Stegostoma tigrinum: one gene and its partner. The protein of the gene in region 2 interacts with the protein of the main gene of each other region in a pairwise test. Links are inferred from orthologs where the notes say so. Each region holds a gene or a part of one and is shown on either strand. Other genes may lie near its edges.

The links.
Region 1: the proteins of alpha-1,6-mannosylglycoprotein 6-beta-N-acetylglucosaminyltransferase B (region 2) and dmrt3a interact in a two-hybrid assay, tested with the Homo sapiens proteins (2 studies listed by BioGRID). The two-hybrid records come from large-scale screens. The link is inferred for Stegostoma tigrinum from reciprocal best matches to the Homo sapiens genes MGAT5B and DMRT3.

Annotation. Positions count from the first base shown.
Region 1 is NC_081361.1:42,214,289-42,222,386, forward strand, and holds the start of dmrt3a (doublesex- and mab-3-related transcription factor 3a), read right to left. Parts: upstream 3,108-8,098; 5' UTR 2,875-3,107; coding exon 2,484-2,874; intron 1-2,483. UniProt on the Homo sapiens protein: Probable transcription factor that plays a role in configuring the spinal circuits controlling stride in vertebrates.
Region 2 is NC_081375.1:32,599,360-32,607,380, forward strand, and holds the start of alpha-1,6-mannosylglycoprotein 6-beta-N-acetylglucosaminyltransferase B, read right to left. Parts: upstream 3,061-8,021; 5' UTR 2,454-3,060; coding exon 2,371-2,453; intron 535-2,370; coding exon 407-534; intron 1-406. UniProt on the Homo sapiens protein: Glycosyltransferase that acts on alpha-linked mannose of N-glycans and O-mannosyl glycans.

The DNA of each region.
Region 1 (8,098 bases), on a different chromosome or scaffold from region 2:
TAATTCCTCTATGTGCCCCCATCCTCAAAATTTAACTATTGCATTTTCTCTGCGTTTAAATACAACTGATGTCCTTTCCGCCAATCTACCAAAAAAAATTATTTTCTTGACTGAAGAACATCATCTAGAGATGTTTACCAATACACTTAATGTTCATACAAGAAAACAGAATATCTAGACTGGGACAGTTTCCAACGTACAGCCGTAAAGGCAGGCTGACCGGCAGCTTTTGAAGTTGGAATGTAAGATTACATTTACGACATAGATAAAAGTTGATAAGTGAAAAATGCATGATGGTGTTTAGTTAAGGAAAAATGACGCTGCTAACAAGTGTTTTAACCAAAAACAAGGTTTTTCTGCCGGTCTAAGGACGCTAAAACATATTTACTTTGCGTTTTCCATAAGACATTGCCTAACTGCAAATCCTGGCGAAAGACCTGCCCAGGAAGCTGGGAAGCTATCAGAGATTATCCGGCTATTTGTTTGAAATTTTGGAATGAAACAACTCTGTGTTTGCCCGAATTAGTCTCGTCAGTTATTTTTCCATTGTTAACCAGAGATGCTGGTTAGGATTTACTTTTCATTTGTTTCAAAGTTTAATATTGTGAATTATGAAATATCGGACATTTAAATATACAATAGAATGGACCGGAACATTGAGTGAAAATATAAATAAATCGCTAGCGCACGCTAAAACAGGTTACCTGTTTTATCTTCCTTTATCCTCTTAAGGACTTCACACGTCAACCTTTGAGAACTACAGTAAAATGATCCCTAATTAAAACTTCAACTACTAAATCAAAATACAAAAACTCCAACAACTCCGAAACGTAACACATTCATTTTCTGAGTGTGGTGTTAAAAATGGTAAATACAGAAATGTTAGGCTGTCGTAGGAACTAATAGTAAAATGTCAATCGGGATCAATTTCTTATATTTTTTTCAGATATGTAAATGTCACGTTAAACACAAATGTTCCTGAAGTAGTCACGAATGACTTAATTGGAATAATACGGGCCTATAAATGTGCCGGTTATTTTTATATTTCTTTTTGAAATAGGTCGAAATTATCCCAGCAGCAGGTCTCTCTGTTTCACTTGTTACCAGGCAATTTGATCCCTTAATCCCTGTGCTCTGTAGTGATTAATCACGTCCCTGGGGCTGAAACGGTAAACGCGGGGGCATCCAAACAAATCAATCCCCCTTTTCACCCCGTGCGCAATTATCATAACGAGGGTGTTATAGCTTTGAACTAGCCGGCTCTTTGATTTGTTGAACGTGGAAAAACAAGCAGGAAGCCAATTTGTAGTAAGAATAATCAGTGTTCAGAGAAAAGGGGACAACAAGAATGGCTTGCTTTAACAATGATTGTTCAGTTAAAATAGCATCCAGATTGTTGCAGTCACTGCATATTGTGCTGCTCTTTCTCCTTGTTCCCTAAACCAAAGTCTGTTCCTGCCGCTTATTGGGCATTGGTTATTCATGCTCGCGGCGTCAAGAAATCCTTTTCAACTATTTTGTGACAACTAACGTTCATTGATTGAACACCGTTATTCTCATCGTCATATGGGACATGAAGGTGAAGAGGCATAACGGGATGCTATTAAATTCTAAATATAATTGGTCACTTTTTTTAAAAATGACGTATTTGGCAGCAAGCAAATATTTAGAAAGCGTTTGTTAAACACGCCAGCATTTCGGTATGCGCCGTTCCCGCGGTTTGGTTTAAATTCTCAATAGCTAAATAGCCATTTTCCGACATTCGCGCTCTTAAAGAGGAGCCGGGCACTGTGTGGTATGGAAACATCTGTTTGATGTTTGGTGTAAATGTAGCCCACCCGATGTTCCTATCGAATGGGTCGGCTGTAGATTTTGCGAAATCCTTATCCCTACCGGGAAGCAAAGTCATTCCCATTTCACAGTCTCCCACCATTCCTGGAATAGTTCCACAGAAAGCAGTAACCTGCCGACCGCTGAAATAGCTGCAGCAAACTGGGAACATCGAGAATAGTTCACGTCCCGTTTTTGGAATAGATACAACAAACTAGAGGCATGAATGTCAATTATGTGAAGTCCTGCCTTTTGTAAACCACCTTGTCCACTCTGCGTTTCACAGTATCTTTCCTTGAGTGTAAGATCTCTGTGGCCCGATAATGTCCCCATCAATGCTTGGCTGTGTTTGAAAAAATACTTAAATGAGACAACGGTTCAGCTATTTTGCCAAGAAATGCAACAAGACAATACCTGTTTAAATTCAGAGGACTACAAATGTCGTGAAGCGACGCAGCATTTCACGTGAGGTGTTAAAGTTTAAAAAAAATAAACCTGACGCCTAATTTCGAGTGACTGCAACAATACAAGAATATTCCTGCACTGCCTTTATTACAGCCGAGGGGATACCTATGCGAAACAGTGTGTGCTATAATTTCACGCCGCTCATGTACACGGAGCGAAGAAAACCCTGGTCTGTGTGAATTTCCTACCCGGTCGCTGAGATAGCATGGAATCCGCAGGTGTCGTTTCGTCAGGTCTGCTTCTGCCGGCTGAGTACACGCTATCGGAAGGAGCCGAGCCCTCGAATCTCTCGGGGGCTGGATACATTGCTCTGTAATCCTCAGATAAAACCAGATTGCAAGGATTCTCGTTGCTTTGTTGCCTCCTGAGAGCCACCTGCGCGGCCATGACTCTCTGTCTTTCCAAGATGAGGATGCACTTGTCACATGTGCAGTCTTTGAAGCGGCAGTAGCGTTTGTGGCCCTTAAGCCAGGACAACACCCCGTGATTCCGGCACCGTGCGCACTTGGGAGTTCGCTGAGCTGGTGCTCGGGAAGACGCGGTGGGTACGTACAGATATGGAGCACCATAGCTATTCATGGTAATCACTCTAAAGTTGTGTTTTTAACAACGAGAGGTTCGATGCTCCCCTCAATTCCTTTCTCAAAGGTGAAAATCGCACGGGAGCAAACGCAAATCTGAGTTCAAGAGCGGGAGCGCGTATCCCAGCTGCAGCGCCTCGGTTTTATAAAGCAGTTATTTCAAGTCAATCAAGTGAAACGACTTGTGTGAAAGGATTGAAAATCATTTTTCCTCCGCAAACCTCTCCCCCTTCATTCTTTGAGAAGAGTTGAAAGCAACTCCACAATCAAACAATTCTAAAAGATTTCAAGTGTTTGGAGGAGGTGACATAGGTGCCGAGATAGGGCGGGGCGCACTCCATTCAAAAGGGATTAAAAATAAACGAGGGAGCTGGAAGCGAGGTAATAGAGCTAATGGATCACTTCATAGAGATCCCCTTTCACAATTAGACTTCCCAATTCTTATAAAATGGATGTACCCCACTTCCAAAATATATATTATGAATTGTCAATTTTCACTTCATTTTTAACTAAACTAAGAATGGTATGGGATATCGATTTCCATTTGGCCCTAAAGTAAATCAGTTTTGCGCAACGTTTTTGTATATCTGGACTTTGTCTTTAAAATGTGGAAGGGAAGAAGGAGCTAGTTATCTCATTTTGAGATGGAACTGAGGGCTAATCAATGCATTGGTTAAACTTGGACACGTACGTGTTCTTCGGGTTATCTGCCACGATACTTCACCTTATATCCATATTCTCTGGACAATCCCTGCACTGGACACTGCATGCAGTCACTTCCTTCTGCAACATTTAATTCATACATAAGAAACAACGCTGATTCGAAGTGGCAGAATTTATGCCGCATGATTTCACATACATGGAAACAACACACCTGAAACCCGTGAGAAAGTGCTCCTCTGGGAACTAAGCCATCGTCTGATTGAAGTCAAACAAAATGAAACTTTATTCGAGGGCATATGAAAGAGGCTTGAAAGCATTATTGATAAAGTGCGTTAAGCACTTGTACGTTGGAAACAAGGTGTTGGTGGTTTTAGGGGAGGGAGGGCTGCCAGTGGCCGGGGGTGGTGGGGATAGCATGTCTGACGCACAATTCCCTATCTGCCTCAACCCTCTCTGCTTAGCAGCTTGTCTTTTTTCTGTTACTTCAGTCTTTGCTCCTTGGTTGCTACTGAGCAGCGACATTGTCCTCCTGCGCCTCTCACCCCCTCCCTTCATCCTCACTGCTGAAATCAAGGTTCGTTCATTGCTTACTGCAACTCATTCTGCCCCGAAATGACTAAACTGGCGAACTCCACGTTCCATTCCTCCTGCATTCTTCAGGTTTTTTAAAAAGCTCAATTTAGTGTCACTCACTGTCACTTTTCAATTTTGGTTGTGCACAGAACTTGAGTCTTTTCACTTAGTTTCTTAATTTGAATAAACGCATTCGTTGTAATTATTTGAAGGTACATAAAGTTTACGTTCGGAATGTAACAGCTCCGTGGTGTTGGAATACAATCGTTGTTTTGTCACTTGGTTTCGTTTTAGCTCGTTAACCTTTGCTACTCTCCCTCACCACCTGCTACTTTTCAATATGATATTTTAAGTGGCCTTTCGCCGAGAGATCAACGATATCATTTACTTCAAAAATCACCATAATTCAATAGGTTTTATTTCTCTGTTCACCTGGAGATCATTGGTTAAGTCTCTCTGAAAAGGACTTACTTTTAATCCATCGGTTTTTTTTTAGTTGAAAACGCTGGGCTAACCCAGGATCTCCTTGAGGTTAAAGAGGTAGATAAAACTGGCCAGAATCAGAATTCAGATATTAAATGGTAAGTGGTCATTAGTAAAGGCGAATTTATTGGTCAGACTGTTTAATCCTTCATGTGGATCCAGATAATTTGACTTCAAATATAAAACCTGAAATGTGAGGCAGGTGATTCGATCGTAGTCTTGCCCGTAATGATAACCAGAATCACAGCGTATTTGGTCCAGGGAATATTGTATTTAACTAGGTATCCAGAACTTGCTCGGGTTAAACGATCCCACATCATTCGCACACTGTTAGAACAGTAAATAATATAAACATTCGTTACTTTACTCCCAATTGGATGCACAAACTACGCATGACTAAATGTAAGAAAAGGAAATGTTAGAAATACTTAGCAGATCAGACATCTGTGACGACAGAAAAAGCATTTTCTTAGAACTGAGAAATGTTTCGAGATGTGATTAAATGGCATCTACCTGAAACATCTGTGTATACGAATGCTGCCTGGCCTGTGGAGTATTTCAGACTTTTTCGTTATATCTGTGAATAATTGTTAAATTCCAACCGGTTAAGTTGCTCTGTTGGCATGTTAACGTGGAGTTTGCAAATAACGAATCTGGGCTTTGCCCTAATTTTCCCATGCTAACAGAGTTGCTACTTCCAGGGATGGTTGACTCCTAACTCATTCGCTTCATTATCTATTTGTGTTGAAAATGTTGGAAAAATCAGCAGATCTGGCAGCATCCGTGGAGGCACAAACAAAAGGAACGTTTCCAGTCTGATGTGAGGCTGAGAACTTCGTCCCTACTGTGGATTTTATAGCGAAGAATGCACCGGGGCGGCAGTTATTAAGGAAGTCAACTAAATTGATAAATTCACTCGATAGTAGAGCAGACGCACCCCTATAGTCTCGTTCAACATATACGGCCAACTAGCCGAGACAGCCAACTCTTTTTCCTTCAAGAACCCAAAGTCCTGCCCTCATTACTAAAGTGATTGAAGGGACGTAAATGTGAAAACGCTACCACATTTCTGCAGTTCTCCTTAAAGAGTTTGTAGTTTCACAACAGCCTTTTTTTATTGTAAGGTTTTACCGCTTTTTTCAATCACCTGAAAAAAATCCAGTTTGTAGTTTTGACTCTGCAGTAATTTAAGTTCCTTTCTTTACACAATACTGAGTATTATGAAAAAACGTTAAGAAACTAGCTTTAGAATCAGTTCCATAATTTAGCCTAACACTTCATTACTGCCGAACGCCACTCAGTCTGACACAGGTATTACTCAAGGTTAACATAAACTGAGTTAGATCGTGGAAATTTTGCACATGATATATGCCTTCGTCACATGCTTCCATCAGTCATTTCAATAATTCCACTTTTAAATCAAAAGTATTTGTTGTTATATCGATACAGAAATAAATATCTGATCAGGTGTTTTAATGTACCAAGCACAACAATGTTTGCGTTATATTTTTAGAATTTCGATTTACCAGGTACATGAGATAATTCAAAATTGTAGTCTTTATTTCAGCTTGGAAAAAATGCAATTCCAAAGTTTAAATTGATAGCTGTCTAAATTTGAAACCAGGGTAACTATTTGTACACATATTGGTATTTTAGTGCACAAACCTTACCTGTAGGAGACCTCTGTAGATTCTTTTAGTGAACATTTGTATTGATCAGAAGGTGAAGGGTAATAGAATAACCTTTCCCTCTTTGACTGACTGTTTTGTTTGGGCTGGCCAGTTGAAAAATAAATACATGATGCGTATTGCCACATCAGTATTTTGTTCTAGTAATAATGATCGTTTTAAGAATTCAAAATGAACAGTTAATAGCATTAATTCTTTCTCTTAAGAGTACAATTTTCAGCTCTTATAACATATTCTATCATCTTTTCCAGTTAATTTGCTACCCTTCAATTACAAAGAGAATGACATATGTTCAGGCAGTCTAGTGTCTTGGTGAACAATGTCTCTTTGATATCTACAAACCTGTGCAATGGCTTTTAACATTATGAGAGCATCATAAAAAAAAGTTAATGGCATGAAAGTATCTCAAGAGGGCTAGAATGTAAAGAGCTGGGAGTTCTGTGATGGTTGTGTGGGATTTTGGTTAGACCCTATTCACATTACTGCATTCTTTTCTGGCTTTTCAAGCTGTATTTATTGGGCTTAAAGCACGTACAGCACTGGTTTACCAGAATTATACCTGTGTAAATATGATTAAGTTATGAGGACTGACTGCGAAGTCCAGGCATTTAAGTGTAAAAAGTTATCTGATTCAAGTGTTTAAAGGATACGTTAAATACATAAACATTTTCCTCTAGTGGGAGAGTTTATAGCCAGGATATAACCTTAAAATTAGAGTGGCCATTGAGGAGTAACTTTAGAAAATACTTCTAAACACAATGTAGTGGAAATCTGGAAGGTTATCCCTCAAAGAGCTGTGAGATTGACAAGTGGCAGATGACATTAGTGGGACATAAGTATCGGGCCATGACCATCTCCAGCATCCCTGACTATAAATATCCTGGGGCTACTACTGGCCAGAAATTAACCGAACCAACCATATAAATACTTTGGCTACAAAGCCAGGTCAGAGACTGGGAATTCTAGGACAAATAGTTGACCTTCTGAATCCTGAAAACCTCTCCAACATCTACAAAACACAGTCAGTCATGCGTGGAATATTTACCATTTAACAAGTCAAGCACCATTGCAACAAAGCAGAAGCTGGTGGTGTAATGATCAGGAGGCTGTGGCATGATGGTAACATTTTTGGACATGTAATCCAGAAACCCAGACTAATGTTCTGGGTACCTGGATTCCAATTTGACTGTGGTAGGTGGTGAAATTTGAATTCAATAAAATCTGGAATTGGAAGCTAGCCAAATGGTGATCATTTAACTACTTAAAACCCATTTCAGTCATTCATTTTCTTCAGGGAGCAAACTTTGCCATTCTTACGTTGTCTGGCTTTCATGTGGCTCCAGATTCATAGCAATGACCCTTAACTGCCCACTAAGTATTTAGGGATGGACTGGCAAAAATACTGGCCAAGCCAGAGACACCCAGGTGTCATGTACAAGCTAACTAAATGCAGCCCACCTCATTGGCACCCCATCCACTAACTTTAATATTCACTTCCTCCATCACTGATATACAATGACCCAAATGTAAACTGTACTGCAGCAACTTACCTATTCTACTTCAACAGTATTTTCCAACCCATTACCTCTATCACATAGAAAGGTGCACTGTTAGTACTTTATTAGTACCGATGCAATTTCTAATGAGATACCATCGCTGTTGAGTGAGCCTTCCTGGAAAACGACAAAAATTGAACTGGATATGGAACATGTCAAACCAATTTTCTTTAGAAAATCAGTGAATTTGCAGGTTACCCAAATAGAGCATTGTTGCATACTCATAAAAAGGCACAGTATTTCTAGACAGAATGTTACA
Region 2 (8,021 bases):
CTCCTAAGGCATTACTTGGTATTGGGTGATCACTCACCCTTTTCAAAGGGATCACTGTTGTTTTACTGGGAAGAGATTCAGATTGTTCACACCTATGGTCAATGGCAAAAGTATCAGTGGCTCTGGGCTGGAATTTGTTCCCCAAATCCCAAAAAGAAACTAGCAAACTACAGTCAAGTTAGCCTAATGGCTGTCATTGTGAAAATGCTGGAGCGCATTATTAAGGAAGAAATGGCAGGGCATTGACGAAAGCTTAATGCAATAAAACATAATCAACAAGATTTTGTTACAGGGAAATCACGTTTGACAAATTTGCTGGAGTATGTCCAGGTTCTTTTAATTTTTTCAGAGATGGATAGCAGTAAATAGGTTAATGTAATGGCACTTGACATAAAGCTACATTTACCTTCAGATTTGCTACCTAATTGTCTAATGCCAAAAGGTGAGTCTCCCACTCTCTTGCCTGTAAGCTGTCCGCCAAAGGAGGTCATTATAAAACAGAGGGTGAAGAATCCAATTCCAGCCACAAATAACCTAGAATCAAGCAGAGAGCATATCAGACTAACGTACAAGTTTTTGCTTTATAGTTAGCTAGTATATGAGAATACTAGAAATATAATGTGTTCTATATTGTATACTTGATTACACGTATACTGTTGTCAATTTACAATTTTACTTTATTCACTTGTACACTTTGACTGTTTGCTTAAAAGTATGACCATACTTCATTCTAACTTAGTAACTCATAATTGGATTCAACAGCATGGTGGTACTATGTGACCTGCTGAACGGCATAATGTAGTAAGAACAATAGATGTACTTCTGCTGTCCATGCACATATACTAAATCTTAAAAATTGGCATAATGCTTCTGAGGTGGCAACTTATTTCTAACATATTTTAAGAAAACACATTTTATGTTTGATACTAAGCAATAAATGAACAGTACCATTTATTTAATCAATGTTTAGGCTTAGATTCATTCTAGGCTAGCCCTACATTTAATTGTTGGCTTTCAGGCAGGAGATGAAGTAGGTGAGCAATTTAAAAAATGAGAGGGATTGTGTAGCAGCACATCCCCAAATTATTTATTCTGACATATGTCTGCTTCTATGCCTACCCTAGAAGGACTCTGGTATAACGGTGATCCTATTACTTTTGTCACTGTACCACATGTTGACAATGAAATTAGATCAAGTCCAGCTCCTGAAGAATATGTAGGTATTAAGTACGTGAGGCTGAAAGTCATCAAAAGGTACAGGAACATTCTCTTATTTATGTATTTTGTTTCCCAGAAGTACTTTCCCTAAAAGCAGTGAATTCCTGCCTCTACAATTTTAAATTTCTGGCAATAATAATTAGGTCAACTTCTGCATTTTCTTTTAAATATGAAATACACATCTTTTTCTCTATCATTTGGATATTGTTAAACAGGTCCTCTTAAATTTCAGATCAACACACAGAAACAGAAATGTCTGTTCAACAATAACAATAACACTCTAGAGCATCCTTTTTGAATATGTTCCTAGCTGTATGCGGTGAATTTGCAACACAAGATTAATCAATTGCTTCACAAAGTTCATCAATTGAAGAAAGCATTCTTGTTTTGCCATGCAAATTACTGTAATTAATATCAATGTAATTACGACCAATATTTTAAAATGTACCCTTTCTGAAATTCAGTTTTAATGATTTTGCAAGATTATCAGTTTACATATTTACGTAACATTTCATACACTGATATTTTATAGATTTGTATTTTTAACTGTTACTGAACAAACGTCAAGCTCCATCCCCTCCCCCGGCCCTAGCTATATCCTTGAACATGTACTTAACACCATGACCCCATGGAAATAGCATGGAGAAACAAGATCAATCACACCAGGATGTATTCTGAAACACATGTGGCATCTCATAGTGGGAAGGTGAGTGATTTCAATGTGACTAGCCGTCTCCTGGTGCCCGCACCCATCAGCCACAACTCCACACCTTACCCTCTATGTTTTAAATGTAACTTTCCACGAATGAAAAACAGAGAATATGGTATTGTCTGCCTCTCATAGATTCATCTCAAACTCAATTGCTACATTGAATAGAAAGCATCATTTGAATTAGGGTGGTCCCAGAGCATTGCAAACGTAAATACTGTAAGTGTTGCCAGCATGGAAAGCTGTCTTTATACTGAAATGACAAACATTAACTGAGATTCATAACCATATAATCTAGACCAGCAGCAGTTACAATGAGATTAAAGTGTAAGTTTTGCTTGACACAAGCATTGATCACAAGTGTTCCACACAAGTCATATCAATCATCAATACTAAATTATTTTATATGTGTAATTGAAAACAAAACTTGAAGGTAAACTTACCTGAAAGGCCTTAAGGTTACAAGAAACCTTCTCACCATTATTTTACCATCTGAATTTGTAGAATTTTTTGAAAGCAAAAACATCTTTCTGTCAGTGAAACATAAATATTATCTAATATAAACTTGATTAATTTGAAGATATTTAATTAATCAATATTTAATATTGTCCTTAGAACCGAATTAATAGGCATCAGGTGATTTTTTTTCAGGTCAGACCAAATAAAATCCATTCACAACTTTTGATTTGCTGATTTAAAACAAATCTGCCAGGTTTCCTATCTCCAGAGTGAGTCCTTATTCAAGCTGAAGTGATGCTGCTCCTAGCTCTATGTTGACTTTTTCAGGAAGTAGTGATGAATACAAGATGCCGAAGATAATCCAAAATTAACAGTTAAACAAGAATCAAGGAGACTGCAGGTGAAAAAAAGCACATTAGTTGCTTGAAGATTTCCTCCTCTCATGATCAGAGCTTGCTGTTATTCACAGCCACATGACTATTGCATTGACACACTTAGGCAGGGCATCCTCATAGTCCCTCGGGTGAGATTCATACTGATTTTTGCTCAACCGCCAGATCTAGTACAAGCAGCCACCAACAACCTCGGCATTCAACCCCTTGGACAAGTGAATAGGGTTGGGGATAAAAGGCTGACTGACAGATCACAATCCAACCAGGATAGCTGGAATACATCAGCCTCTCTATCATAGCTGCTTTATTTCCTTTACAAAGCATGAGATGTTACATTATCCTGATGCAACAACAGTGCTAGAGCATCACCTAGTGTTCTGGGGATAGTTTGTTCCTACATTAATTACTTTGTATTTTAGCTGAATAGATTCTTACCTAAACAGGTGCTGTGTGTTTTCTACATTACGAGTAGTGCTAAGATTCTGTAAAAGACAAGAAAACAGGAAGCCATAAATGTTCACGGCAGCAATTTTAAGACAAGAAAAAATCTGAAATTGCCATTAATATTATCTTTTATATATTCATAATCTCAAATATAGTAATGATTCAGTCATAAATATCTTCTCATAATAGAAAACAAAGCAAATTTTTGAAATTTTTAAGGAATAATCCACCATACATGAATTTCATCTTATTTGGAATCATGTATCTTACTCACCCTCATGCTGTCTCAATGGTGATCTGGCTTGAAGTTAGGAAAGAGCAAATGATCCTTCAGATATTTGTTCACACTCCACAATAGCATAATCATGGGTCTACTGGTATGGTAGACTCGGTAGCTAGCCTATTGTATTTAGAATTATGTTGTCAATTGTCAATGATTCTGAGAAAACTGCAGGTGGCAGTAATGTTCAGCCGTTGAATTTCTGTGCTTGTGTAAATTTTGTCTTATATAGGCTGAATGAAGAAGCAGAAACAAACCTTTTTATCGTTGGTCCAATTTTAAAGGCATGCTTTTTGGTGAAATTATTGACCAATGTGATTTTGCATTTTATTGGTGGCAAAGTTTCAATTTTAATTCTCATTTATGTGAATCTCACATCAGGACTCATTAAAAGGATGCCAGTGAGTGAAACTTCATAGAATCCCTACAGGGTGGAAGCAGGCTATTCGGCCCAACTAGTCTACACTGGCTGTCCAAAGAGCATCCCATCCAGACGTATCCACTTAAACTGTCCCTGTATACCTTCATGTCCCATGACTATTCCATCTAACCTACACGTTCCTGAACACTATGGGCAATTTAGCATGGCCAATCCACCCACCGTACACACCTATAGACTGTGGGAGGAAACCAGAGCAACTGAAGGAAACCTACGCAGACACGAGGAGAATGTGCCAACTCCACACAGATAGTTGCCCAAGGCTGGAATTTTAGCCACATCCCTGGCAGTGTGAGCCACCATGCCACCCTTCATTGTTTGCTGAGAAGCATTTCAAACTTAGATGCTAAGAATTTTTTTAAACCAATTAAATCAGTTTGGTTGCTATTTCATAATATAATAATTTAGGTGGTAAGTCCCCAACTCCCCCACGATGTGAACACTGGCAAGACAGTTGGGAAAATATGGCAAGATCAGCAAAAATTAAATCCTCAACGTCAAGAAAAAGGAATCAGATTCTGCAATCAGGTTTTGAACAACATAAGAAGCATACTAGTGAGCAGCAACAGGTCACCTTGTATAACGATAATATGCTATCACACCTAATCTTACCTCATTGAAATGCAATTTCCTGTTCTCCTAAATGCCGAAAATAAATTAGACAGCGACAATTCCTGACATGAACTTTGAAACAGATATCTGGCAACCTCAATCACCTGCATGCTCCTCCAGGCCACCATCTTGGAATCAGTCATCTGCATCTCCGGGCGTGTTCCACGGGCATCGACACCACGTAGCCAATTCAAAGAGGTTGGCATCAGTCACATGCCAATCTCTTTGCATCCGCATGGCACATATCCAACTAACTTGCAATATGGTTCTGCACTCCAAATTTTTACTGTAACGCTGCTTGAAAAGCGCAGAGTCAGGCACCCATCTCATGAATTAAACCAGGGAACATCTCTGGGTTCCTTGCTTGCTTTCTTAAACCCCATTCACTCTGCATCTACTTAAAAGCTCACAGCATCATTGCTTGCCTTGTTTTCTTTTCACATTGCCCACTCATTCTGAACTTAAAGGCTGATGGTTTTTCTGCCTTGCCTTGCCATTTAGTGCAGGCACAACACCAGGTAGCTTGTCCTAGTTGTAAGAAGTGATGAGTCAAAAAGATAGACATGATCCTGTACAGCACCGTGTTATTTCAATGTCACACCCATAATATGATACAGCAGCTCACTAGGCAAACACACTGCATGTGCTTCAGCCAAATCACCATATCTGAAAGTCTAACAAGTGTAGACCTCAGTTCATTAAAGGGCGACAACAGTAGTTGGAGGTTACCAATATTGCAAGTCAACGAAAGTTGGGCTGTCAATTGTGGAGGTTGGATGCTGCTGGCTGGGATGCAAAGAGGACAATTATTGTGATGGGGGAGAATCTCAATATATAAGAAGTGCAGACGATAGTGCATTTGAGAATATGAGTTACTGTGGAAGAAGGGGTTGTCACTTCACTGCAGCTGCAGACACCATGCCTGCATCTAGATGTAGAGGAGTGAAAGGCACAAGACCTTACAAGGGCATATTAATAGCGTACATGATATTTATTATAAATGCATTATCATATTTGTAAATAGAGGCAGATAGAATGGAGACAGACCTTTCAGTCATCTGCGCCGATCAGACATCCCAATCTGACCTAATCCCATTTGCCAGCATTTGACCTATATCCCCTTAAACCCTTCCTATTCATGTACCCATCCAGATGCCTTTAAAGTGTTGATTACCTTTCATTATCAGCAGGGTGAGTCAATTGAGTTTTAGCAGCGACTGTAAGAATGAAGGCAGAGAAACTAGCCATCCTTAGCACCACAAGATGTTCAAGCTATCCTTAAAAGATAGCTGTCCTTTCCATAGCTACCACAATTCAGTGAGGGAGCATTGGATGTTGCGAAGGCTTCCATTCATTTGTAACCTTAACATCTATTAAATAGCATGAGTCACATCGAAGGATCAAAACTTTAAGCTGCGCTTACAGTCATGATTATACGTGGGATATTGGCCTCAGCAGCATAAATCATTTGCAGTCAGTGAAAGATGACTTTGCACAGCTCAATTTCATTGAATGGTATTCACAAACAATGTCCTGCCTACATTGATTTGGTCAATGCTTCTGTGCTGTATGATACTGCAGGCACGGTTCCATCTAAGGAACATCCTCATGTTCTCACTCGGCGCAATGCCTCAGCTTTCGTAGATCCCCATTGTCCATCCTATAGCCACAGTACACCCTCCAGTTATCCAAAGCAGAGATTCTGGTTCAAGTAGTATCTGCAATCTGGATGGTAAGGTGCCAACGCCACAGGCATGACTTGCAAGGACGTCTGACATGGAAAAACCATTCCATGAGCTTCAATGACCATGACTGGATACACTGGAGAGCACAACATGTAATTCTGATCTCCAGTTCTGGACAGAAATTTCTTTTTCTTGACTTTTTAATACTTATTTTCTAATTTGTCATATTTTCCCAACTGACTTGTCAATGTCCACATCGTTTGACAGAAGGAAAGTTTGGCCCTATGGTTTACAATGAAATTCATGGCGTATTAACCTATTTGAACCAACTGTAGCATTTGCAGTAAAATGCTGCAGTGGTACTATTGTACTTTTTAATTTAAAAGTTAAATGTTTTGAAATTCTAAAGTATGATCAATTTGCAATTGAAATGTTTTCTTCCTCCATTATGCATAAGGAAAAATTCCACCCACAGGACTCCTCCAGTATCAAGTTTCTGACAATAAACGTTTTTTATCATTGCTTCTAGGTATGCAGTTAAACAAGGCCTCAAAGATTATGTTTTCCCACTTACTATCAAGATGTTAAATAGTTTTTATCTATAAAAGATGCTGTTTTCAGGATACTAAGGAAAGCTGAGAAACATGCAATTGGAGTAGTTTTCTTATTTAAAAAAGTTTTTCAGCAAAACACAGAGTAAATTATTATGTTACCTTTGCAAAGCACCTTTAATGAAATATTAACATTTGAACTCACTGCATGTGAGCATGATTAAACATAATTTGACACTGTCACAAACAGATACTAGGGTAGGTAATCAAAAAAATTTGTCATTAATAAAGTATTAGGGAGCAACCTAAAAGGGAAGAATGTAGTGAGACACTAGGTTTAGAAGGGGAACACTGAAGATATGCCCCAAAAATGATGGAGCAAAGAAAATTTGGATTGCAGAATGGTCTACAATTAGAGGAGTTCAGAGAGCTTGATGTGGAATGTTTAGAGATATGGAGGGCTGAGTCTCCAAAATACTGGAAATGGGATTTTAAATTTGAGACATTAGCAGATTAAGATCAATCAGCAAGCAGCTGTGCAGAGAGTAAGAGAACTTCATATGGGAGGATGAACTTAGTGAATATAATGTGGGAGTTTGGCAAGAAGACTGTTAGAATAGTCAGGTTTCTGGATCACAAAAGCATGTACAAGTGTTTCAATAATAGAGCACCTGAATTTGATGGCAACTAAAGAAGTAGATTTGCTCTGAACTCTTGTAATGTAAACAACTTTCTACATTGGAGCTGTAGGTCTATGTATATTCAAGTATAAGCCTCCTAATGCCATGCATCTTATAAGGATGAGTTATTGAGTCACAGACATTGATGCACAAAGTTCAGTGCCTTGTATGGAAATCTATTGCTCTTAAAAACTGATATCCTACAATGTATGCATGTCTTATCAAGGACTACTCTGCATTTAAATATGTTTTCTGGACCCCAAGATTTGTCATTAATCTATAATTATTGAGACTTTCAGTTCACAGTTGCATAGTTGAACTTATTAAATGCAAAGCTGTGTAGCAGACAAAAGCTTTGTCACAAAACATCTCACAGTCCAATTCCACAGATTGTCTCAAATTGCATAAAAAAGCCAACATCTTGACTGGCAAAGGAAGGCAGAAGGCATAGACTGAATGGTTTGTCGTAAGGAAGAATGAAAAACAAGTGAGTCACAACAGATCACTGTCACTCTTATCCTAGCAACTAGTTTCAGACTCAGCAAACTTCAT